5 linked regions of the Tribolium castaneum genome follow. The protein of the gene in region 5 purifies or fractionates together with the protein of the main gene of each other region. This does not show direct contact. Links are inferred from orthologs where the notes say so. Each region holds a gene or a part of one and is shown on either strand. Other genes may lie near its edges.

What was found.
Region 1: the proteins of Cbp80 (region 5) and tho2 purify together in Homo sapiens (affinity purification with western blotting; 3 studies listed by BioGRID and IntAct, with this or other methods). This does not show direct contact. The link is inferred for Tribolium castaneum from reciprocal best matches to the Homo sapiens genes NCBP1 and THOC2.
Region 2: the proteins of Cbp80 (region 5) and Kap-alpha3 purify together in Homo sapiens (co-immunoprecipitation; 3 studies listed by BioGRID and IntAct, with this or other methods). This does not show direct contact. The link is inferred for Tribolium castaneum from reciprocal best matches to the Homo sapiens genes NCBP1 and KPNA4.
Region 3: the proteins of Cbp80 (region 5) and regulator of nonsense transcripts 1 purify together in Homo sapiens (co-immunoprecipitation; 3 studies listed by BioGRID and IntAct, with this or other methods). This does not show direct contact. The link is inferred for Tribolium castaneum from reciprocal best matches to the Homo sapiens genes NCBP1 and UPF1.
Region 4: the proteins of Cbp80 (region 5) and Ref1 purify together in Homo sapiens (affinity purification with western blotting; 6 studies listed by BioGRID and IntAct, with this or other methods). This does not show direct contact. The link is inferred for Tribolium castaneum from reciprocal best matches to the Homo sapiens genes NCBP1 and ALYREF.

What each region holds. Positions count from the first base shown.
Region 1 is NC_087402.1:8,541,402-8,545,321, forward strand, and holds part of tho2 (THO complex subunit 2), read right to left. Parts: coding exon 3,254-3,920; intron 3,209-3,253; coding exon 2,746-3,208; intron 2,698-2,745; coding exon 2,113-2,697; intron 2,064-2,112; coding exon 1,536-2,063; intron 1,485-1,535; coding exon 1,421-1,484; intron 1,373-1,420; coding exon 1,273-1,372; intron 1,220-1,272; coding exon 1,084-1,219; intron 1,030-1,083; coding exon 834-1,029; intron 784-833; coding exon 746-783; exon of another isoform or gene 226-745; intron 1-225. UniProt on the Homo sapiens protein: Component of the THO subcomplex of the TREX complex which is thought to couple mRNA transcription, processing and nuclear export, and which specifically associates with spliced mRNA and not with unspliced pre-mRNA.
Region 2 is NC_087398.1:4,899,269-4,904,425, reverse strand, and holds the start of Kap-alpha3 (importin subunit alpha-4), read left to right. Parts: upstream 1-1,937; 5' UTR 1,938-2,316; coding exon 2,317-2,379; intron 2,380-2,473; coding exon 2,474-3,172; intron 3,173-4,725; coding exon 4,726-5,157. Other genes in the region: endonuclease/exonuclease/phosphatase family domain-containing protein 1, read left to right, coding at 57-463, 516-697, 749-979, 1,270-1,547. UniProt on the Homo sapiens protein: Functions in nuclear protein import as an adapter protein for nuclear receptor KPNB1. Binds specifically and directly to substrates containing either a simple or bipartite NLS motif.
Region 3 is NC_087397.1:527,110-532,245, reverse strand, and holds the start of regulator of nonsense transcripts 1, read right to left. Parts: upstream 3,171-5,136; 5' UTR 2,838-3,170; coding exon 2,658-2,837; intron 2,606-2,657; coding exon 2,378-2,605; intron 2,334-2,377; coding exon 2,154-2,333; intron 2,108-2,153; coding exon 1,895-2,107; intron 1,843-1,894; coding exon 1,451-1,842; intron 1,040-1,450; coding exon 1-1,039. Other genes in the region: sodium channel protein Nach, read left to right, coding at 4,081-4,200, 4,251-4,411, 4,458-4,605, 4,653-4,783, 4,833-5,058, 5,104-5,136. UniProt on the Homo sapiens protein: RNA-dependent helicase required for nonsense-mediated decay (NMD) of aberrant mRNAs containing premature stop codons and modulates the expression level of normal mRNAs.
Region 4 is NC_087395.1:19,979,177-19,983,166, forward strand, and holds Ref1 (THO complex subunit 4), read right to left. Parts: upstream 2,404-3,990; 5' UTR 2,292-2,403; coding exon 2,109-2,291; intron 2,004-2,108; coding exon 1,580-2,003; intron 1,505-1,579; coding exon 1,407-1,504; 3' UTR 1,164-1,406; downstream 1-1,163. UniProt on the Homo sapiens protein: Functions as an mRNA export adapter; component of the transcription/export (TREX) complex which is thought to couple mRNA transcription, processing and nuclear export, and specifically associates with spliced mRNA and not with unspliced pre-mRNA.
Region 5 is NC_087397.1:5,579,481-5,584,686, reverse strand, and holds part of Cbp80 (nuclear cap-binding protein subunit 1), read right to left. Parts: coding exon of another isoform or gene 2,531-5,206; intron 2,461-2,530; coding exon of another isoform or gene 2,425-2,460; exon of another isoform or gene 2,311-2,424; intron 995-2,310; coding exon 756-994; intron 708-755; coding exon 159-707; intron 111-158; coding exon 1-110. Other genes in the region: mucin-2-like, read left to right, coding at 2,425-2,460, 2,531-5,206. UniProt on the Homo sapiens protein: Component of the cap-binding complex (CBC), which binds cotranscriptionally to the 5'-cap of pre-mRNAs and is involved in various processes such as pre-mRNA splicing, translation regulation, nonsense-mediated mRNA decay, RNA-mediated gene silencing (RNAi) by microRNAs (miRNAs) and mRNA export.

The sequences.
Region 1 (3,920 bases), on a different chromosome or scaffold from region 5:
AAGTTCTTTAATATTTTAACAAAAAGTTTCGTCTAACAACAACAATAAAGACATGCATTTATATCTTATGAAACAGAAAAAATAATCCATAACATCTAAAATAATTCGGCATGACAAAACCAAAACGGAAGCAATTTCAGTACAAATAAAATTATTTAAGGAATGTAATTCAATAAAAAGAGCTGCACGTCACCGGAGAAACTCCGTACTTAATCCGGAACCTACCTGTAACTGGCTCCCATCCCAAAATTATTAACAAAATGGAAGATTGGGCTGATTGCAGACTGTCCCTTACACAAGTGTCACTTTTTGCCACTTTTACATAAGTGAATCTTCATGCACCTTCGCTTGCGTCTTCTTCACAGCCGATTCCATTCCCGATCTTCATCAACGGACGAATTCACTCCAACATTACTCCGGCGATTATAAGAATCGATCGATTTTTTTAAACGACAAACTTCTTCGGAAATATTTACGACAATCAGAATTTGTGATTTGATTTGGTTTAAATGTGAGGAGAACCCGGTGATGAAAAACAAAAACTCGTGCAGGACTTGGTGGCGAAATTAGAGCAAAAAGTTTATCAAACACACAAAGCACTCGAGTCTACAACACTTTTTGCGACAGATTTAAAACACTTTAACGGCACGACTCAGCCCAATCTCCCAGTGTCGGACAAAGAAAATACCAGAGAGGGTTTCGAACCCTGAAATCTGCATCGTTGTTACGTCACTCCGATACTAACCTTCAAAGAAGAACCATCCATTTTTCTTCTTTTAACTTCTACACAAAAAAAATTAATCAATACCACCAAACTGACCCAATTATTTTACCTCTATCGGTCTCGGGCTCTTGACTATGCCTTCCCATACTACTTGACCCATTATTGCTACCACTTAACCCGATTTCGCGTTCATCTCGCACTTCTCGATAGTAGTGACTGCCTCTTTCGTCATAGTATCGTTCCACTTGTCTGTCGCTTGAATACCGCATTTCATCTTTCGGACTGATTTCAGAATAGCGCTCCTCCTAAACAAAATCCAATGAAATAACACCAAAACAACAAAACTCGCAATGAATTACTCGATACTGTCGTTCTTCCTGTTTCGCCAATTTCTCCTCTTTACGCTCTCTACGTTTCTCTCTTTCGCGTTCTTTCTCAAAATCGTCACGTTTCTCCTCCCTTCTGTGTTTTTCCCTCGGTTCGGGGCGTTCCCACCTAAATAAAAACACACTCAAAAGGGAAATTTGCACCAAAATCGAAATACTAACGCGTTATAATCGCCAGAGCTTTGGGAACCTTGCGACGTTCGTGAAACGACTTTAAGGTCCTCCGCTTTGATTTTTTTCTCGCTTTTGTCCTTCATCTCTTCTAAAATCAGCTCAATGAGTAACAAATAAATTGACACACACATAATACCTTTAACTTCGCCGTTATGTTTGCTAGAACCTGCCTCACTTTTAGCTTCATGACTTCTCACAACCTAACAGAATTATATTGTACGATTGGCAATTTTGTTTGAATGGTTAATTACCTTCTCTTTCTCCACCAAAATATGGAAATCGCTCTCTTTCACCATATGCCCGCTCATAATCCTCTGTTTCAACAACCCCAAGTAACTACTAGACAACGTGAACAAATCCTGTCGATTGTTCTTCTCCTCATCTCGCACTTTTTCGATCCGTTTTTCAATAAATTGCCCCACCTTTTGCAACACGGGGAAAAATGGAATGATCTTAATTAGGATAATTAACGAGTTCCTGATTTGTACGTAATCTTTCGAGTCCAAGCACGTGACCATAGCCTTTGCTAGTTTATAGTGCCATTTATGACAAACATGCCTGTAATTCTCATAACCGACATTATCCAAATTGTCGGCATGTTGGTTATTTAGACGATATTTAGTAACAAAACCTGGATAATTGGCACATTCTTTCTCAAACAACTCTTTCGACTTGTGCCACCGCATTACAGTCTCGAGCATTGCGTACAGAAATCGCCCATAACGCATCGCCTCATTTTCGGTACACGAAGTAATGGAATATGTGACGTCGCAAAAGAGCTAAATCAACCGAAATCACGCAAAATTCCAAACAGATCACACAACTTACCCTGTCGTAGCACAAAAGCGTCGAAAAATTCGGCGTTTTCAGCATGTGAATCACGTGGACGAACTTAGCGCAATACACGGCATCGATCGACGTGAAAGTGCATCTAGGGAACAAACACAACTGCAAAAACCGGGTTATTGTTTCGTTTTTGGCCGATTTTGCCGATCTTGACAGGAACCAACTGTCCTTCTCTTGCTTCAACCTATACATTACTTTCTCCACGTGTTCGTGTTGTTTCTTCTTCTCGTCTTGCAGTTTCTCGACTAGGGTCAAGTAACGTTCTTGCTCTTTTTTACCTTTGTTGTTACTCGATTCTATCGTTGCCAACGATTGTTGGCGCGTTTTATTCACGACTTGTTGGTACGTTTCGTCAGGTACGTAAAGATCATACATTGTTAAAGACCAAAAGGTTGATAAAAATTGGGGCGAAATGTCCTCCCAGATTTTCGGGGGGTGGAGCGGAATTATAGATTTGTGGACCGGTTCCATCACTTCGTTCACCGCTTCGAAATATTTCTGGTTTTTTACGTTCGTTGAGAGTTTCTTGTAGTTAGGGTCAGATTTACGCAACTGATCGTACTTTATCTAAGACAATTAACTAAATAAAAGCCAAAAAAGGGGGGAAATACTAACATTTATGGCATGGTTGAACATGGGCCTGGCCAGGAAGAAGGCAACTTCGTTTGGAATATGATAATCGAGGAGCATACTCTGGATACTTGGCAATTTATTCACATACTCATCAACTGAAAGAGAAGAGCCGAGAAACGTCCCAAACTGGACCAAAGTGTCCTGACATTGATCGGCCAATTTCCCGACCAATTTCAAATGATTCTTCTGCGTTTCCCGATAGACAACACAATAATTTTGCTGGGCCATCAGTAAACACAAAGCCACAGCTAGATTATGCTCAGACATTGCTTCCTTAAGCCGCAGTGATGATTTTTTAGTGTTGCGAACTTGACTCAAATAACCGGCCTCGGCTTTCAGAAGTTCGCCCCCTGCCATTGCGTTCACTTGCTCCATGGTCAAGTCTTCGGCGGCTTCAACACCTGCCATTTTCTGGACGATTTCTTTCAAAATCAGCAAATCCAAACTGAAACTAGTTATTAACCCAGCGAACGTCACAAATGAAAAGTACCTTTTTTGCGCTTTAAGTTGGTTGGCCACATACTGCAAAAGCCCGGTCAATTCTATGATGTATTTTTTGTAAACAGCGCCACAAAAACTCGAGAGACTTTGTAGCCACGAAGAGATCGAAGTGCTATCATGTTTTACCCGTTTCTTGTCGGCGTTCGCTAGACATTCAACGAGGCAAAAGCCCAAAACATCGTACGATAAACTCGTCAGATATTTCAAAGAGTCGACCACTGGGTGAATCAAATTGCTATAAACTTGAATTTGGAGTAAAATGTAATCGAACAGAAATCCCGGTGAACAGTGGGTGAGTTTGCCAATGAGGCGGCCTACAGGTTTGATGTTTTCCTTACTGACTCGTTTCATGATATTTTTGATTTGTTTTTCGGAATCTCCGCGCTTTCGTAACAAGTCGGGGTATAAAGAATACGTCTCGTTTTTCCACCGGCTGTAAAGACAGTACCTATTCTGATATGGGTAGAGTTTGAGGACCGTCCACACTTCCTCTGCGATGCAACAATTGCAATCCATGTACGAGAGTGACGACAGTATTGTCGTGTCCAACAAAGTCAAAATATCGTAATATAACGTATCACCAGACGGACAAGGCGATTTTGACGACTCTACTCCATAGGAATTTAACGCCGCTTTGGAAATTCTTATCACTTTGT
Region 2 (5,157 bases), on a different chromosome or scaffold from region 5:
AAGCCATGGCCGATTTTTTCCCGAGGCCACGATTAAAATGTTCGGTTTTTTTCCAGGTTGAGGATCTGCTCAAAATCAAATCAATCGACCGAATCCGTCTTGATAACATCAGTCGGTTTCTGACTGTTGAAAACTCCGACCTAGAAGACACCGACGTTGAGAACCCCCGTTCTAGCATTCTCACAAACGGCTTCCACCATTCCGTCAACGAGAAAAAAATTACAAATGGGGGGCCCTTAAAACTTCCCGTTTTGAACGGTTTATCGTCGTCTTCGCTTTTCGACATTTTCGAGCTCTTGTCGGCTTATTCTCCCCGACCGACTGGTCAGGAAATTTTCAATTTCACGCGGAAAGGAGAGCCAGCGATACGAATCGGAGTATGGAATTTGCACGAATTTACATTTGAGAAAGCTAACAATCCCGGAGTTAGGGAAGTCGTGTGTCGGACGATTTTGGAGAACGGGTTTGTAGAAAAAACATCGTGTGAAGCACAGGTTTTGAGGAAATTGTTCCAGACTATCGATATTAGCCGTCCAAGAGGTAGTTAATGTCACAGCAATGAAATTAATTTGTGATGAGCTCAACAAGCCAAGGTTGAGACGAGTCAACGAGTGGAAAGATAAAAACCATAACTGGAATTTTTGTATGCTGGATGTAGATGGGTCCCAGTTAGGTTTTATCTATGACTCAGATGGAGGTGCAACACTACCTATTTCTAATTTTATTTTTATGACTAATTTGTTTCCAGTGATTGATATTGAACTGATATCACTGAACCAAGGTCCACAAGAAACAAGCGATGACTGCGAAGTTCTCATAGCAAGTTTCAAAGTCGGCGATTTAGACTTACAACTAGTTAACATGAAACTAAACAAAAAGGCGAAACTGGACGTGTTGCAGGAAAAAATAAAAGATCTAATTTCCGAAGAAGACATGCTTTTATTGTTTGTAGACTTTTCAGCTATTCCTAACATAACAGGTAAACTGCTGATAACATAACTAAACATGCAAATATTTTTTAACGAAATTGCCAATTAAGTTGCATAATTACTTACATCACAGCCTTGATGGATGGGAACTTCGTTCTTAGACGGCTGGTCGGGTCAAGCAGGCTGTGCCACCTAAGAGGGCGACATCTTACGTCAAATATAATTGTCAATTCTGATAGTAGTGAAATTAGGCATGCAATGCGAAGTTAGCGACAAGCCGTAAAAAACGAAGTTCTCTATCTATCAAGGAGGCTGTGAATGACAGTGGGCGTGTTTGCAGACGACTGGTTGACAATCGGGGGTCTCCAAGCAGCCTTTCCGAGTTCGATGAACACGAGTTATTTGCGATCGAAGTTGGGTTTAAAACCACAACACATATCAAATATTTTATGTAACAACAAAATCCAAGGGCAAGTTACGGGTATTAATGGGGTGGTACAGCAAGGTTTGACCCATTTGGCCATTCCCAATGGGTGGAATTGGGGCGGACCGGCGTCTCCTTTTTGCCCCGTCTGGATGGAATTGTTTCTAAACCCCAATTCTGGGACGGCGTTGTGATATTATCTTATTTTGTATTTAATTTTATTTATTTTTGACTGGGTATACTTCACGTAAATTTTACAAATTTATGGCTGTGTGTCGGACGGTTTTATTTCTAAGCTTTAAAGACAAATATGTGGGGGCACAGATGATTTTATTTTGAAATTGTGTTTTTGTTCAGAAATTTTCAAAAAAATTAGCGGGCGAATTTTGCAATAAAGGGCCCCGATTTCGTACTCCCTGTACTGTAACAACTTAGTCTTGTATTTGTAATTATTTAATAAATATTATTTTATTAACAGTGAGTTTTATTTATCACAAGTTCGGTCCAACAAACAATCGAGTGCGTAAGCACCGCACGTGAAAAGTGTGACCTTGACATCAGCGTGCCAACTTTAAAAACTGAAAGTTTTGCCGAAATTATTGCAAATAAAGGTGTAGTGTCCATTGAAACAATAAATTTGGCTTGATTTTGAGCCTACAGTGAAAAGTTGTGGTTTTAATGTTAATAAGGTTTAGATTGTGTTAATTTTCCCGATCAGCTGTCCTTCCGTTGTGTTTGCCACCGTGCGCGCAACCTGTGCAACCGATCTTTGTAGCAAATGGGTATGAAAAAAATACCCAAATTACGTTAAATCAGTCGGTAATTTTGTGATAATCGCGTCCGAACGTTTCCCCCTTCATTTTTCATGTTATCATAACGCCAAATCGAGTCTTTTACGTTTTAAGAGCGCCACCCGGCTTTTCCTCGTGTTTTCATCAGCCCTCCATTGTCAAATCTATCAAAATGGCGGATACAGGTTACAAGAATCGCATCCAGAATTTCAAGAACAAGGGAAAAGACCAAGATGTAAGTACCCCGCCCTTCCTTGCGCCCCACCGGCTCCCTTACTCCCGAAACACCCGTCCGGTGCGCCCCTTCTGACCGCCCCGTGTGCCCCCAGGAAATGCGAAGACGGCGCAACGAGGTCACCGTGGAATTGCGCAAGAACAAGCGCGAGGAGACCCTCCAGAAGCGCCGCAATGTCCCCGTGGTGGACTCCACCGACGAGGACGACATCGAGAAGTCGCTCTCCACCACGAACTTGGAAGAACTGGTGGCGCAAGCGGCCGCTATCGACAACCCCCCGCTGCAGCTGATGGCGATCCAAACCGCGCGGAAGTTGCTGTCTTCAGACAGGAACCCCCCGATCGACGCCCTCATCTCCAGCGGGATCCTGCCGGTCCTGGTGATGTGTCTCGAACGGTATGACGAGCCCTCGTTGCAGTTTGAGGCCGCCTGGGCGCTCACGAACATCGCCTCGGGCACGTCCGCGCAGACCAACAGGGTGGTGCAAGCGGGGGCCGTGCCCCTCTTCCTGAAGCTGCTGCACTCGCCCCAGCAGAACGTCTGTGAACAGGCCGTTTGGGCCCTGGGGAATATCATCGGCGATGGGCCGCAGTTAAGAGACTATGTTATCGAGCTCGGTGTTGTTAATCCACTTCTCTCGTTCATTAAACCCGACGTTCCGATTTCGTTCTTGAGGAACGTCACCTGGGTTATTGTTAATTTGTGTAGGAACAAGGATCCCCCGCCGCCTATACAGACTATTAGGGAGTTGTTACCCGCCTTGAATGCGCTTATTCACCACACAGATACCAATGTGAGTATGTACCAGAAAAGAGTCACAAAGGTGAGCAGTCTCATACTTTGCGTTACGTGTGAAAAAAATATAAAAAAGGGAAGAAAAAAAAAAGTTCACCTTTAATGACGTCTGAGTTTTAAAAATGTTGGATTCAACGGTGCGAGATTGGTGTCAAGGTCGCAATTTATTCTTTGTCCATTTTAATGATTTGCAAAAATACGTCTTCATCATTATTTTCGGTTGTTTTGTTAGTATTGATTACGACGTAATAAACAAAACAGTACTTTGGCTCTATAAACAAATTTTACGTTGGCAGAATCATTCATAAAATTTTCATTAATTAAAAGTTCAGAAGTAGGTCAGCTATAATTGTTTTCACTTATTAGGAGGTGTGACTCAGGTTTTTGTGACTCAAACCGGGGTTGTTTATAGAATATGAAGTTAAATTAAACAAGAAATATTTTCTTTACATTTAAATTATTCTTACCGATGGTCACATAGTCACAAAAACGTTATCAAGAATCAAGAATTACGAGATATCAAGAAAGACAATTTTACAAATAAAATATTTGTTTGAGATGCTGTCAAAACATTCTGGGATAATTAACATTTATTCTCACTTGTATAGAAGGGTTCTATAAATAATTGAAAGAAAAACCCTGGTTTCAGTGTCAGTAACAGAAACTGAAAGTTTGAAATTTTTTAGACGTTGGAATTTTATTTTAAAACTTTTCCATGTCCTTCTCGTCTGAAAGTAGATTTTTAGTCTCTTTGGCGACAAATTTCAAAGGCAAAATAAGCCTTGATAATTTTCGTAGGCTTGATTCGTCAGTCCTTAGATAACATTGTCAGGAATGTTGCATAAATAATAAATAAAAAAATATGAAGACATTGGAAGCTACTTAACATAAACAATTAAAAATGGATTTTTGTTATGTGGTGTAGTGGCAGCAATAACAAACAGTGTGGTTAATTTATTTGCGGTTTGTTTTTTGTACTTTTTAATGAAACGTGAAAATATTTATGTACATAATACTATTAAGATTTTTTATTAATTATAACAGATTCCTTACCTTTGTTGTTTTATGTAATTGTGGCATGTTGGCTTTTATTTAAAAAATCATAGAATTCACGTTGTGGAAAATAAATGTGTAATCGTAAATTTTGGTAAAATACTATAAAAAATTTCAAGTTGACTTCATTTTGTGAGGCACTCTCATTTATTTTATTTTTTTGTGCAATATTATGGAGGTGATTTTTTTATTTGATTCTGAATCATTCTTTTATTTGTTTATTCTTTTGTATTTTAAAAAATACAATGCATATAAATACAAGCCGAAAAAGGAATTTTAATGACCTCACAAAAGTGCATCTTTACCGAAAAATTCTATTTGACAAATTCGCATTTTATTTAGGATAAAACATCACTGGGGAATAATATAAATGACATTAGAAACCTTGCAAAGTTCTCGTTATTTTTTTTATTTATCGATATTAAATTTTTCTGGGACACATACAAAACGATATTTGGATTTTCGGCTGTAGCATTTAAAAAAAAATTGCTCTTCCAGATTTTAGTCGACACGGTCTGGGCATTAAGTTACCTCACCGACGGCGGCAACGAACAAATTCAAATGGTGATCGACAGCGGCGTCGTGCCCAAACTCATCCCTCTCCTCAGCCACAAGGAGGTGAAAGTGCAGACGGCGGCCCTCCGTGCCGTCGGAAACATCGTCACCGGAACGGACGAGCAAACCCAGGTGGTCCTCAACTGCGACGCCTTGTCCCACTTCCCTGCCCTCCTCTCCCACTCCAAAGAGAAGATCTGTAAAGAGGCCGTCTGGTTCCTGTCTAACATCACCGCCGGTAACCAGATGCAAGTCCAGGCCGTGATTGACGCCGGCCTCCTGCCCAACATCATCAACAACCTCAGCAAGGGCGATTTTCAAACGCAGAAAGAGGCGGCGTGGGCCATCAGTAATCTAACCATTGGCGGAAACAAG
Region 3 (5,136 bases), about 5.1 Mb from region 5:
AGTTCGGTTCAGATAACTAGTCCCAGACCCGGCAATTTCCTCCTGCCCTTGGGTCACGTGGAAAAACATGGGCCTGTCAATAACCGGCCATGGAAAATCAATCTTGTTCAACTTCCTTTCATCGGCACAAACTCCATTTTGCAAACTCCCTTCATAGAAAAAATTGGAGGGAAAACGCGACAATTCTGGATGCATCCTGTATTGTACTTCCAAGCGAAACGGTCGAATTCCCAATACCACCAACCTCTCAAACAAACTTTGGGACAATCCAGCCCTTGCTGCTTTCTTACACATAACAACTGGACCCAACTGACAATGATCACCAACCAAAATCAATTGTTTCACTCCTAGTACCACCGGTACCATACATTCGGGTTCAGTCGCTTGCATACTTTCATCAATCAGAATCGAATGAAATTTCAAACGAACCAATCGTGGATCACCTGCCCCCACACAAGTACAACAAATAACATCGGCAGCTTCGAGTAATTCTTTCTCAGCCAATTTTTTCAACATTCTGTATCGTTTCTCATCAACTGAACTCAACTCTCCAGTCTCATCTTTCAACTGTTGCAACTTCTGGAGTTCAGTATTGGCTTCCATTTTACGTATCTGATTATGCAATGCAAGAAAACTCACAGGCGAATCAATCGCTTCGCGTGATTTCGCACACAATCTTACAACTTTTAGATTAGTTTTGTGAATTTTTTCGGTAAGTTGGTCAACTGCCGTATTACTGGGAGCACAGACTAGGACTGGACCGCCGTTTTGTTTCACCAATTGATAGACGATGGTGGCGGAAGTTACGGTTTTTCCCGTTCCGGGAGGACCTTGGATGAGGGAGAGTGGACGCTGGAGGGCATGTTTGACGGCGTAGACTTGCGAACGGTTCAAGTCGGGAAGATTAGGTGCCGAAAAATGTTTAGGGAGGTGACAACGGAAAAGGACCTCTTCGACCTCGTGGCCGAGGAGGCGGTGGTAGATGTAGGCGGAAACGGATGTATCGTCAACGGCGAATTTTCGCAAGGCGAGTTGCATCCTGCAATTAACAATAAAGGCGAGCTCAGAAAAAAACGACGTGAAAACTTGTTTTCACATAATTATTTTTTTAATTAAATATTCTTAGAAACCTTATAAAAAAATTACCACATTAATATAGCTTGAAATATCAACGCTTAAAATTAACATCTTACAAAGATTTTTTTAACATTCGGAAATAAGAAGTGAAAATGCGTCACTTCTCTCATGCTTTTTTTTTAATTACTGTGATTTTTAAAATAAAGTTTGATTGTAATATTATACTTATATTTAATGTGAAAGTTTATAACAATGGTACTTTCAACGTTTGACTACTAACAGTAAAACATTAATTAAAAAAATAAATAAAAAATGTGATACATAAAGAGATTAACGTGATTATTTCTGTTTCTATCACAACAACGAAATTTACCTGTCAAAACTGGTACTTTTCCAAATGAAATCCACCACAAAGTTGCTGTTACAATCGGTGGGAGCCCCATTTCCGTTCTTCAACTCAATGCCAATATCCTCTCCGTAATTATCAGGAACTTTGATAACGTGTCCCACCCCCGCCCATGATTTATGCATTTCTCCCACGTATCTAAGTCTCAACTCATCTCCGTGCATTAATTTCATATCCCCGTCAGTTTTAGCAAGAGTAAAATACGCAATTGTTTTCTTATTCAAACCCACATCCCACCTAACTTCAATATTTTCCTGAGTCTGAGACTCCTTCAATCTTTTATCATAATCAGCTTCAAGCTTAACAAGAGGACCAAAAATGTTTTGGTACTGATAACCGTCCTCATATCGCAATAAAACCTACCAAAAAAAATTATAATAAATACGTTAGAACTGTGCAAACAAGACTAACTTGTTGCGGTTCTTCGTCAACTCCTGGCCGTTCCAAATCCTGGAACGTGGCATCAACATTATCTTTCCAAAGTTCTTCAAGTTTGTTGATTTGTTGGGCTGAGATTTGGCGCGCTCGCAGTTGTTCCTGTTCTGATGGTATTTTTACAAGCCATGTGAGAAAACACCGGTCGGTAATGAGTGGTTTCCATTGGTCTTGATCCCAGTTCATGTCCTATTAAAAGCTTGAAAACTGTCCTATTTTAAAAGCAATGACTTACTTTAAGTGAGTTTTGGGCGGCACAAGGTTGGCGGCAAAGTAGCACCACAACAGAGTCAGCTTTGGCAGGAATGAACCCCAAAACAAAAACATTGCGGACGCCACAACTGTAACATTCAAGGATTGTCTCGCCCAAAGGGCCGTCCTTGTGTAAGGTCACTTCCTTGTGTTTGGCTCGGACCTAAACCCCAATCAAAAAACAGTTTCCAAGTTGAAATTCCTCACCAAATGGTTGATTATGTGGCTTCCTGAGGTGTTTCCTCTCCCGTTACAAAACCACTTTTTGCAGCAGTTGCACATGACAACGCAATTCGGCTCATGAATGCCGCAGTACTTGCACGCGTAGTTCGGGAGCTCCTTGCTGTTGAAATACTCCTCATCCTCTTCCTCGAATTGCAGTTCCCCTAAAGCACTCGTCGCATTGGCGATTTTGTTGTTGATGTTGTTGTTGAGCTAAAACAACAACGTCATACGACACTGAACCAGGGGGCGACCTTGCACTAACCTGTACACCGGAAACTTTGGGGCCCGCGTGGTCGTGCTGCGAGGCTTGCGTTTGCGATGGAATTGTGAAATCGGTGAATTCGCATTCGGATCCTTGGGTGTCAGCCCCGATCAAGTCGTTTTCTTCGGTCTCTAAAAACGTGAGAGTTTGCGAACTGGGGCCGTATGCGTCGACACTCATCTTGGAGATTTCGTCGCGAACGAATTGAAGCACGGGTTTATTCACGTTTACTGATGAAACACTTTTAACACTTCAATTGATGACAACTCGACTATGGTTACTTTAAAATTTCTACATTTTTCTCCTGGCAAGCGCCATATTTTCCTGATTAATCATTTGTTTTTTTATCGTCATTTCTCTTTCCGAAGCATAATTGACGGAGCGGGAAACTTAAACACTCGTGCTATCTTTTTCAGTTTTTAGCGCACTGATCTTTTTTATGGCCTCAAAATTAAAAAGTGGTTTAGGAAATAGATTATTGCACAACCTTATTGTCTAATTTAATCCCTAAGCTTTTTTTCGTTGGTTGGCACGGTGTTATCATTGTGGTTACCATCTTATCGGAGTGAGACACGTATCGCAATCTTTTAAGTTAAAGAGAGATAAGCATATGTTTGATTGTAGAAGTGGCTAAGGCTGCGTCACTTTATGATTTGATTTTTCACTTTTTTGTAAATTTTACATTTAAACATTATTTTTATTATAAAATTATAGCATAAAGTTTATTGATTTTTCGGTTTTTATTCAACATTCAACACATGACTGCAAAAAAGAGGCATATCAAAATAAAAAAAACACATTTTTCAAAAACAGCCGATTTTTCAGTGAAATTTTATCGGTAATAAGTCAAAAACATAAAATGATGTTCGTTTTAAAAGAACGTAAATTTACGAATGTTTTTGTCGAAATAAATAAAACTAAAAAACGTAATAAGTTTATTGAGTAGATGACCAATAAAACAACTGAGCATTTGGTTTTGCCTACCTAATTATTAAATTAAAAATGGACGAAAAATGGCGAAATTATTATGATTTATGATTATTGAATTTGATATTGCTATTACAAACTTTATCCATAAAAATAGAACGTGGACTCAATAAAAACATTATCAAGAAATGACTGTATTTTATTAAATTAATAGAAATCACACATGCTCTTTATTACAACTGGCACTCCTTATTTTTTAATTCTTCTCATGTTTAAGTAGCTTGCGGTTACTTAAATGCTCACGTATCATTCTGGTTTCCCACAGATACATAATAAATATTACGATGATATAATTGATAGTTTGAAAACTGTTAACTTTTTATTAGGTTTTTGTACAGCGACAATTCAACACATCTATTAATAATTTATTAAAGTTTTACTGCATTATGACCCAACTCATAAATAGTATTGATTACAAATTCCCAACTACACTACAATGAGTATTGTTACAAAATATTTCTTAAACACGTCTCTACATGGCTTGCATTTCATAGCTGATAAGAGATTCCACTGGACTGAAAGATTTTTTTGGACAATATGTGTCCTAACTTCTTGGGTAAATCCCACAAATCGTCAAATTTTTACCACAATAAAATAGATTCACAGGCCGCATCGATTATGCTAATGTTTAACGCACTAGACCAGTATCAAAACCAAAAAATATCCTTTTCAGTGGACACATCTTACTTAAATTGGCAAACAAACTTTCCTTCAATTGTTATTTGCGAACGATCAAATCCAAAAAAAATGCTCGAAGCTAACAAGAAGTAAGTTAATTGTGATTTTCTTTGTTATAACTCTCTCTGCTCGAAGAATTTTCGGTTCCATATCTCAACAGTTCCCCAAACTCGAAACCTTCGTTTTCTTCGACGGTTCCATAAGACACACGCAAGTTTGCCAACCAAATGGTGCTCTACGTGACAAATGCTTGCTAACAAATTACTCGCAATACATGCATAAGGTTGTGGTATTTTCCCAGTTAACATAACTGCACTCGTTTAATTGCAGTTCCGCAGCACTTGTTCGGAAGCAATTAGTTCGTGCTTTTACAACAACGAAGAATTTCCCTGCTGTGACGAATTCTTGCCCATTGACACTTACCACGGGCCTTGCTTTGGCTTCAATTCTCTGGTTTCAGGGTACTTGCCTTTTATTTCACCAAACAAATTTAAAAATAATTTTTATTAGAAAATACACAAGTCGGGAAGACCTCCCTTTCAAAATAACGCGCGACTCAAATTTCGGTTATGGCAACTTATCAGTTGAGCTGTACCATGATGGGTTCATTGTGTATGGGTTGAGCCAAGACTCCGTCCCTACTAAGGAAAGTTCCAGCGAGTTTGTGTTGCTAGATTCACGCACAAGCTCGGGAATTGTTGCTAAAACAGCCTACAAGGCGTTTTTATCAGTTAAAGTAAATTGATTACATTTGAGTGACTGTTTTACAATTGTTACAAAGGAAACTTTCACGGACGAAGCCGCCAGGTTGATG
Region 4 (3,990 bases), on a different chromosome or scaffold from region 5:
TTATTTATTCCCATCAATACAAGAGGAAAAAGCCTAACACTAGTTGTAGTTGTAAAAAAACAACTGTATGTAATCCTCGTTTTTTAGTGATATTTCTTATAAAATGTTATGCTTGTTGCAACTAAATGCAAAACACTATTTTCATTATTTTTTATTGTTTTTAAGTTCCACACTTATACTTTTAGCAAACCATTTTTAATTATTTTATTCCGTCAATTGGTGGTTCGATATGTTCAAGCCAAAGCCTTCCGGCGACACGGAAAATACAGGAATATAAAAAGAGTTTTGCACCAACGTTATTTTATTATTGTTTTTTGTTCCACATATAGAAACAATTTGTGCTCAAGCACGTAAGATGTTAGAACTCATTTATTTTACACGAATAAACAATAAAGGTTTCAAAAATATTAAGTCTTTGGACATATTGTAGGCCACGTTTGGAATATATAGTGGTGTCGTGGTTTCCATTTTATTATAATCAGATTAATGCCCTAAGAACATGTAGATTTTGTTTATAAATATCTACACTAGATTAAATTCGGTAACTATGCGGAACAAGGATATTCACACAAAATACTAGGCGAATTTAAAAAAGTTGAATTATAGGAACTAAGAAAACTTAATGTAATTTAATTTTGATACAAAATTGTGAACATTACAAGCAGCCACAAGACAGCTCAGTTACTATAATTATTAATCTTACACTGTTGCTTAATAAATTATTATTTTCTTTTAGTATTCTTTATTGATGAAAATTACGTTGAGTGCACTCGCTTCGATTGGATGTACTTTTTGTAATTTGTTTTGTCGTATATTTAGTAATATAAACCCTAAACGCAAGTTCTCACGGACCCACTTTAGTTGTTCAATTAAAGATGAAAATTTTTAATGGAAATCATCGTAAAAAACTTGATCCACTTAAGACACAACAAAGATTCTGACGATGATTTTTGTTGAAGTTTTATTGTTCAACTTGAAATAAACGACTAAAATCGATCCGTGTCAACGTGCCTTTAGCGACAACTGTTACAAGATTTATTATGGTTTTAAATCAAGATTGAAGGCGATTAATTTTTTATACAACTCGGTCTTAACGTCATGTGATACATTTGGCTGATGCAGTTTTATGTATAAATAAAAAAAATTTCTAATGAAACGACAAGTCACACTTAATTCTTATTTATTCCTATCAATACAATTTACATTAACAAGAGAAAACAGCCTAACACTAGATTTAGTTGTGGAAAAAACGAACCGCATACGTAATCCTCGTACTTTAGTGGTTATTTTTTATAAAATGTAAGGCTCGATGTTACAATCAAAATACAAAATAAAAATACGAAAGAACTAAACACAAGTCACAAAAAGTGGCGCGTTGAGCGTCTCTGATATTAATAGCACTTATTTTATTTCATCTCCTTGGTGTAGGCGTCTAATTCAGCGTCGAGTTCTTCAGCTGTCGGTTGTTTCTTTTGATTTCTGAAACTTCGTCCTCCTCCACGACCTGGCAAACAAACATTTGTTTAGTTGAAAAATCCGGCTGTTGGAGGCGTCGCCGCCGCTGGTCAAGTAATTGTACCTCTGTTAGGTCGTCCCTTGGCAGGTGCAGCCCCTCTTCTGCTTTGGAACTTCCTCTCTCCCGTGGGCCTCCTGACCGGCGACGGAATCTCCGACGTGATGATTTGAATGTTCATGGCGCGTCCGTCGAGAGGCACTCCGTTGTACTGCTTCATGGCCTTAATAGCGTCGGTGCGCCTTTCGAAAATCACATCAGCGGTGCCGAGCGACCGCCCCGAGCGGTCATAGTGCACCGAGGCGCTCTTTAGCGGCCCAAACTCGGCGAACAATTCCTGAATATCCGAGTCGGAGACCGCAAAGTCTAAATTGCCCACCATGAGCTTAGTGGGGCCCACATTGGACTGCACAACGGCCCGAGCCGCGGCCACTTTACGCGGGCCGTAGCCCTCGAACAGATCGTGCTTCCAAGCACTGTTCACATCTCCCTAAACAAACATGGATGGGGGTAAATTCCGGCTCTCCGGCTGGATGCACGCTAGCCGCTTCCATCGCGGGGCAGCTTAAGTATAAACATAGTTAGAAACAATTACCCGGGTGTACTGGCGCGTTATTCCTCCGCGTCCTCGGCCCCTTTGGACGCCGCCGGCTCTTCGGAACGTGCCGCGTCTTGGCGCGCCACCCCCGCGGGTTCCGCCGCGACCTCCGCGACGGCCGCCGCGCCGGGGCTTGGATTTTATTATCTCATCTAAACTCATTTCAATTGTGTCGACCATTTTTACTGATTTTGTACGCTGATTTGACTGAGAAATTCACTTTTTCTACACCCGGCGGCAACGCACACAACCAACGACAAAATGGCGTACAAAATGAACGACAGACGCTGTGCGCATGCGCCACGTCACTGCGCTGTCGGCAACACAGGAACCTGCCCGGATTTTACCAAAAAAAAATACGACCGCATGTATTAGGCAATTTTTTGCATTTTCAGCATAATACAGAAACAAAGAATAAAAACTTATTTTTATGTTTATGAAATAGGTAACCTATTTACACCAATGTAAAAACACCGCTGTATTATTGGTTCCCTATACATTCAATTTTTTTCAAACTTTGTTCTACCAGTTTATGTAGGTAGGTATTTGTAAATGAAATTTTGTTCTTCTACCTAATGTATGTTAAAATATTGTCAATACAAAACAGATGTTTATTTATATTGACTCATTAACACATTTTAGTGTTTGAAGAATCTTTGGCAGAATTGAAATATTGTGTAATGTTAGACTTTCTTTATTTGATCCATTAAAAGTAAAAAAAATCAAATGTGAACACGTTTAAATTTAAAAGAAATTTAAAAAATGTAATAAAAAAATATTAATTTAATTTAAAAATTCCAACAAAACAAACACTCACGCGAAAACGTTTAAAGTTCTCGGGTGTATATTATGTAACTCGCATACGCTCGTTTGCTCAAATCACCGTCTGTTAGTCATATAAACTTTGGGAAAAGTACTCAAAAGACGCAATCCCAATTTCCTAGTTGATATTGCGTTTCTGATTAATTTTTAGACGCTGAAGTGAAAGTTTCAACCTCTAATATCCCAAAAAATAATAAAAGTTTGGATTAAGTAGTTAATTACACAGTAATTAGATGTCAAAACACAAAAAATATTTATTTTTAGTTAGTTAATAATTTGTTCATCAGTTAACACTTCTCTATTATATTAAATACTTACTATCAACCCCGACATATTTCTCAAAATTCTGTGAAAAGTTCGTTATGAACGGAAAACTAGTTCGTTTTATCCGTAAGTTCTCCACCACTGAAGTTTAATCCTGAATTAAATTTTATTTGGCTTTGTACAGTAACTAGTCCCTAAGACTATAAATTTAGTTAATTAATTATTATATTGATTTTTTTAATTAATTAATATTTATTGTAAGGAATTGTAGAATAATCCTGAAAAAAATCACATGCACAGAGAAAACTGTAAAGCACCAGATGATCCTAACATATTTTTGATTTTATAGTTTTATTGGGTTATATACAAAAATACATTCACTGAGATTAAAGATCTCAGCATAATAATTTAAAGGATCGGTTGAATCCTGAGAGGTTTTTTTAATTTTACTCGTGTTAATTTTAAACAGGTGCACAAACTGTCTTCTTCATTTATCATCATTATCAAATTGGAAGTCTGTTATCGCCGTTATTGTAAGTAGGTATACTCGAGGGCCACTGATACGTGTCAATGTCATGACTGGGTGAGTTTATCACAATGCACCAGTTAATAAAAATTGTTATATTTACGCTCTGATAGATGAATCTAGATAAAAAAAAATTGGAAACTGTTTAATCTTGCAGTTTGGAATTTTTTCTAATAACAAATATTATTTTACGCCGCTCCTAAAAATATCGAGTAGAGTACAGGTCAAAAACAATGTCCACTCATAAAATTCGAAAATTAATCGGAT
Region 5 (5,206 bases):
GCTCTCAAAGAGACGAACTGTTGGAATACTTCGAGAATGTGTGGGTCCAAGTCTTGGGTAAACAGCAGCGTTTCCAACGTAGAACTGTATTTCTGAACTTGTTCATGATGCTGTAACAACACAAATTAATTATAAATAAAAGCATAATAAAATATTACCGCTAGAAACACTTGTTGGAGCCTCCCAATTGTCCACTTGTACCAATGGGTGTTATAGTCGCGCCCATCCGTGTCACACCTGACCAAATGTTCAGACAGTATCATTATAAACCTCTGGAAAATAATCAGGAACAAGTTTTTCTGATCGGCTTGTGCCGCTTCCAACTTCTCTTCCATCCTTTCAACATACTCTTCAGTTGGTTTCTCGTTATCAGATTGCTTCTTCTTCGAATCCTCATCTTCAGACTCACTTTCGCTGCTTTCAGCCCGTGCTAGTTTCTCTCTAGCTTCAGCTAGTTCACCCCCTAGCTTAATCACGTGTCTGTTCATTTTTTTAATAGTCAGATGTAAAATTTCCCACAAGTACATTTTGGTGAATTCGGCCGTCATCTCTTTGGAAAAAATCCAATTAGCGACCGCTGAACACTCGACAATTTGAATTTTCAACATTTTGTCAACTAAAACGACCATCATTTGTTGGTGGTGGTGCCACAATTCGAACATGTTTCGTAAAACGCAAATTTGAGCTTCCTCCGACTCTGCTAAAATCTATCAAAAAAAAAGTGATTTAAGACACAAATGTTCAAGCCTGAGTACCTTAAAAACGTAAAGAAACTTGGAAATCGCTGCAAAACTGTGCGAGAAGCTCTTCGACCCTAAGTTGAGTAGAGTTTGCACAAAAACGTCGATTTTGAGAGGATTAAATCTGCTATCAGTCTCTTCTTCTGAACGGGGGTTTGGGAGGTCCTTAAGCACCCCTAGGACCTCCTCGGGGGTGCACTTCTGACGTATTGACACCACCAATTGATGGGCAGCCGTAGTACCCGGAAGTGACGCTAAAACACGATTTGTTATGCATGACAAAAAATTTCATAATTTTGGTTTCGCCACGACGGAAGCTGGATTTTTTCACAACTCCTCATAATCCTCCGTTCCACTTTAAATAAATGAATTATTCAAAAAAACAATCCGTTTAATACAACAAAATTGTTTTCCGCAAACCGAAACGGAAAAGAAAAATTAATAATAGCGGAAGACCACCGACCAGAAAATCCAATATTGTTGCAAGTAATCATAACGGAAACGTTCGTTTTTTCTCGAACGCATATAATCGTATCCCTTTCTTACGCAAGCTGCAATGTATAGCTATTTTCTCGTGTTAATTGGTCAAATTCACGCACGTTTTACTTTCGGACTTTTTCCTTTAAATTACAAGAATCACTTCATACCGTGACCATTATGTCAAATTTGCTCATTGTGATGATTGTTTCAAACAATTGTAATCTTCATCGTGTAACATGCACTTTCGTTATTGTTTTTCGTTTCGAAATCTCCAAGCGTAAAGATGCGACTTTGCGATATCGCCGCTGACTTAAAATCGGTTCTTTTCAGAGCAATTAAGTTCAAGGTGAAACTGAAGATTCGTGAGCAAAATTACGAATTAAAAGAAAAAAATAAGAACGATCGTAAACATCTCTGGTTTCATAACGCGGAGATTAAATCAAAGGTAATGAATTTGTGCAATAAAAATGAAAATATTCTACCTCAAGTACTGAATTTTACGCAAATAGGGTCTTAGGTAACACCACAAGGTTTCAATTAGCCACGCTTTTCGGTGAAAATAAAATTTCTCTATTTTCCTTCGAGTAACATAAAGAAAAAAAATGTTTTTGCAGAAATTAAATCAACAAAAATCCACCATCAAAGAAGAAGGTAAAAAATAAATTAAATTAAAAGTGCGAGTCCATTATTTATCGTAATGAAAATGCAATTATCAAGATGTTGCGACAATACAAATTCATCATAGAATTGCCAATAAAACCTTGCTAATAAATTTTTAATTAAAAAATCTCACTTCGGACAATACTTTTTCCGAAGGTTTAATTTTAACAAACCCATCACTCTTAATAAAAATTTCAAAACTTCATTGTTAATGAGAGTCATTTTAGTTAATTACTGTCGTGCCAAATTAACTTGTCCGAAAATAATAATTCGGGTTTTTTCTTAAAACCCCGAGATAATTATCTTGGCATGTGTCTAAATTAAGTAATATAATATGCACATTGCACACACAAGAAAAAAATAATTAATATTCATCAGTGCGCAGAAAAGTAGACAATGTATTAGCAATTATGTCGAAAGCTTCTAGGATCATCGGTGGGGTACTCTTCAATCTCTCTAAGTAAAAAGATTTAGTTGTAAGAAACCGAGCGAACTAGTGACATGTGCAGCTTTCAAACATTTGCAAACACCCAGTGGGTCTAAAATGGGACACTTCGAAATAATCTTCATTTTACTCTTGGTAATTTTACCACGACTAACAATCCCATTCAAGTCCAAGGTTATTAAAAAATGAAAACTCTCATTTTCAGACTCTCCAACTATGGGAAACTGTATCAATCACTCGACCCGTGCGAAACTTTCATCCTCCCACCGACTGGGAATTGGGGCTGCGTGAGTCCGTGCATCAGGCCCTCCTCCGGGAACACTACACCGACCCGGGGCTCCGCGACCGCCTCCTGGCAGCCCCTTTTATCAACCGACAGGACGACGCAAGTCCTTTCGGAGACATCGCCGTTCTGGCACGAGGACAACTCTACATAACCCCTGAAGGTTTCAAATTTGTTCAAGACGTGGACTGTGATTGTCAAAGATGCCTCACGTCGCCCCAATGCCAGTGGAAAACCTTCGGTCACCATAAACTACTCGCACTGTGGACGGTGAAGCGGATAAGACATCGGGACCCCCATTATGGGCACGTGTACGAAATCGAGTACACGATTTCGCCCATCACGCACACCATCAGCGAGGATTTGGTCAAAAGACATGGGTTTTTTAACTATAACGTCCCGGGACACATTTTCGTGATTAAGAGCGATCCGGGTGTGAACACAGTTGGACAAAAAGAGTGGTTCAAGAAAGAGGAAGATCATGGACACTACAAACCCGGAATTTTAATACAAATGACCCCGGATGGGTACAAACACGTGTTGCACAGTTTTCCCGGATTTTTCACTTCATACCACGACCAAACAACAATCGATCCAAAAGAATACGAACTGTACAAAAAATTGATCGAGTCATTGGCGGCGAAAACATCAAGTGGGCCTCACCGATTCTCAGTTACGACTCCTACGACTACGACTTTTGTCGTAAGTGAAGGACAATTAATCCCGATTACGACTTTACCGACCCAAAGTTATACAAAGTCGCCGAAACCCATCACAACCATTCATTATTACACTCCGGTTGAGACAACAACGGAAAAACAAGACGAGAGTTTTGATATTTTTTCGGAGGCGTTACGCACAACTACTACGAAAAAAATTACGACAAGTGAAGAACGAGTTAATTTGTTCCCGGTTAGTCCAACCGAACCGATGAAACCGGTTACGGAAGTTCCGAAACACACACGACCGGATTCAATCAGTGAACAACTTCCAGCCCCTGATCGAAACGTTGAAACTACAATTCCGTACGTTACCACGACTCAACCTTCGGTTAGGAAAGAAGAAAGTACCACAATTGAAAAAGTACCGTATACAGAGCAGAAAACTACAATTATTGGGCCCTTTACGACCGAGAGGGTTAAAAGTACTACGTTTTATACCACTGTACCGAAAAGTAGTACGGTGATTGAGGCGGTACCCGTTAGGACTTTACACACTTCAACCAGTCCCAAAACCACTTCGACTAGCCCCAAAACAACTACTATAATAGAAGCAGTTCCCGTCAGAACTCTGCACACGTCAACCACTTTTCTACCATCGTCTAGCCCCAAGACTAGTAGTTATGAAACCACAGTAATAGAAGCAGTACCCGTTCGAACTTTACGACCTACAACTGGTCATGATACCACTTTTTCCACATCATCCAGCCCCAAAACCACCAGTTATGGAACCACTGTGATAGAAGCAGTGCCAGTCAGAACTTTGCACACTTCAACCAATCAAGGCACTACTTTTCTACCACCGTCTAGCCCCAAAACTAGTTACAGAACGACTCTAGTAGAAGAAGTACCAGTTAGAACGCTACACACTTCAAGTAGTCCTAAAACTACTACCACAATCCAAACAATACCCACTACAACTCCATATGGTTCAACTACTATAGTAGAAGCTGTACCAGTCACAACCCTGCAAGGTTCTACTATCATAGAGGCGGTACCTATCACAACTCCATACCTGTCAACTAGTTATGGTACGACTGTAGTAGAGGCGGTACCCACTACAACTCACCCGAAAAATACGTACGAGACAATAGCAAAAACACCCAGTTATGAAACCACTATACCAGAGATAGTACCTACGACCACTCGGAGTCGAACGAGTTATGGTACCACTTTAGGAGAACCCGAATCTGTGACAACCCACCCTAAACCCACCACAGTCACGGAATTTTATTTCGAATCAAAGCCAAAAACAACAGTAACGCAACAAAAATTCACAATCCCTACGACTACCACTTATTATACGCAAACCCCGACTCAATACTTAAAAGAAGCGACTTTCACGACAAAGAAAGTACCTCGAGTGACCATAACTACCCCAAGCGACGATTTCTTGCTCGATTCAGACATCGAGAAAAAACCGAAAATACCCGAGAAAAAAGATTTCGACGTCGATGATATTTTCGGAACAGTGTCGACAAAATCGAGTACCGAACCAATAGAAACCACCACGAAACAATTGATACAATCTGATGTTTCCCGGGCTTTATTCGGGCGCGCAAAACAAGTAAAAATCAGTTCGAAAATAAGAAAATCAACGAACCGACCGAAAATTATTTATGGAAATTTCTACGCCCCCTCGACTCCCAATCCCACTAATACCCTTTTGGGTACTACTGTGGATACGGATGGATACGAGACGACGACCGAAATTCGGCCCTCGACCGATCAGAGCATCAGCACGTCGATAAGTTTCGAAGTAAATAAGAGAAATAAATCGGAGGATACAACAGCGTCAAGTACAAGCGAAACGAAAAAAGTTTTCGACGATCTAGCCCTCCAATTAGTGAATCATGCCCGAACTATCGATTACTTACAG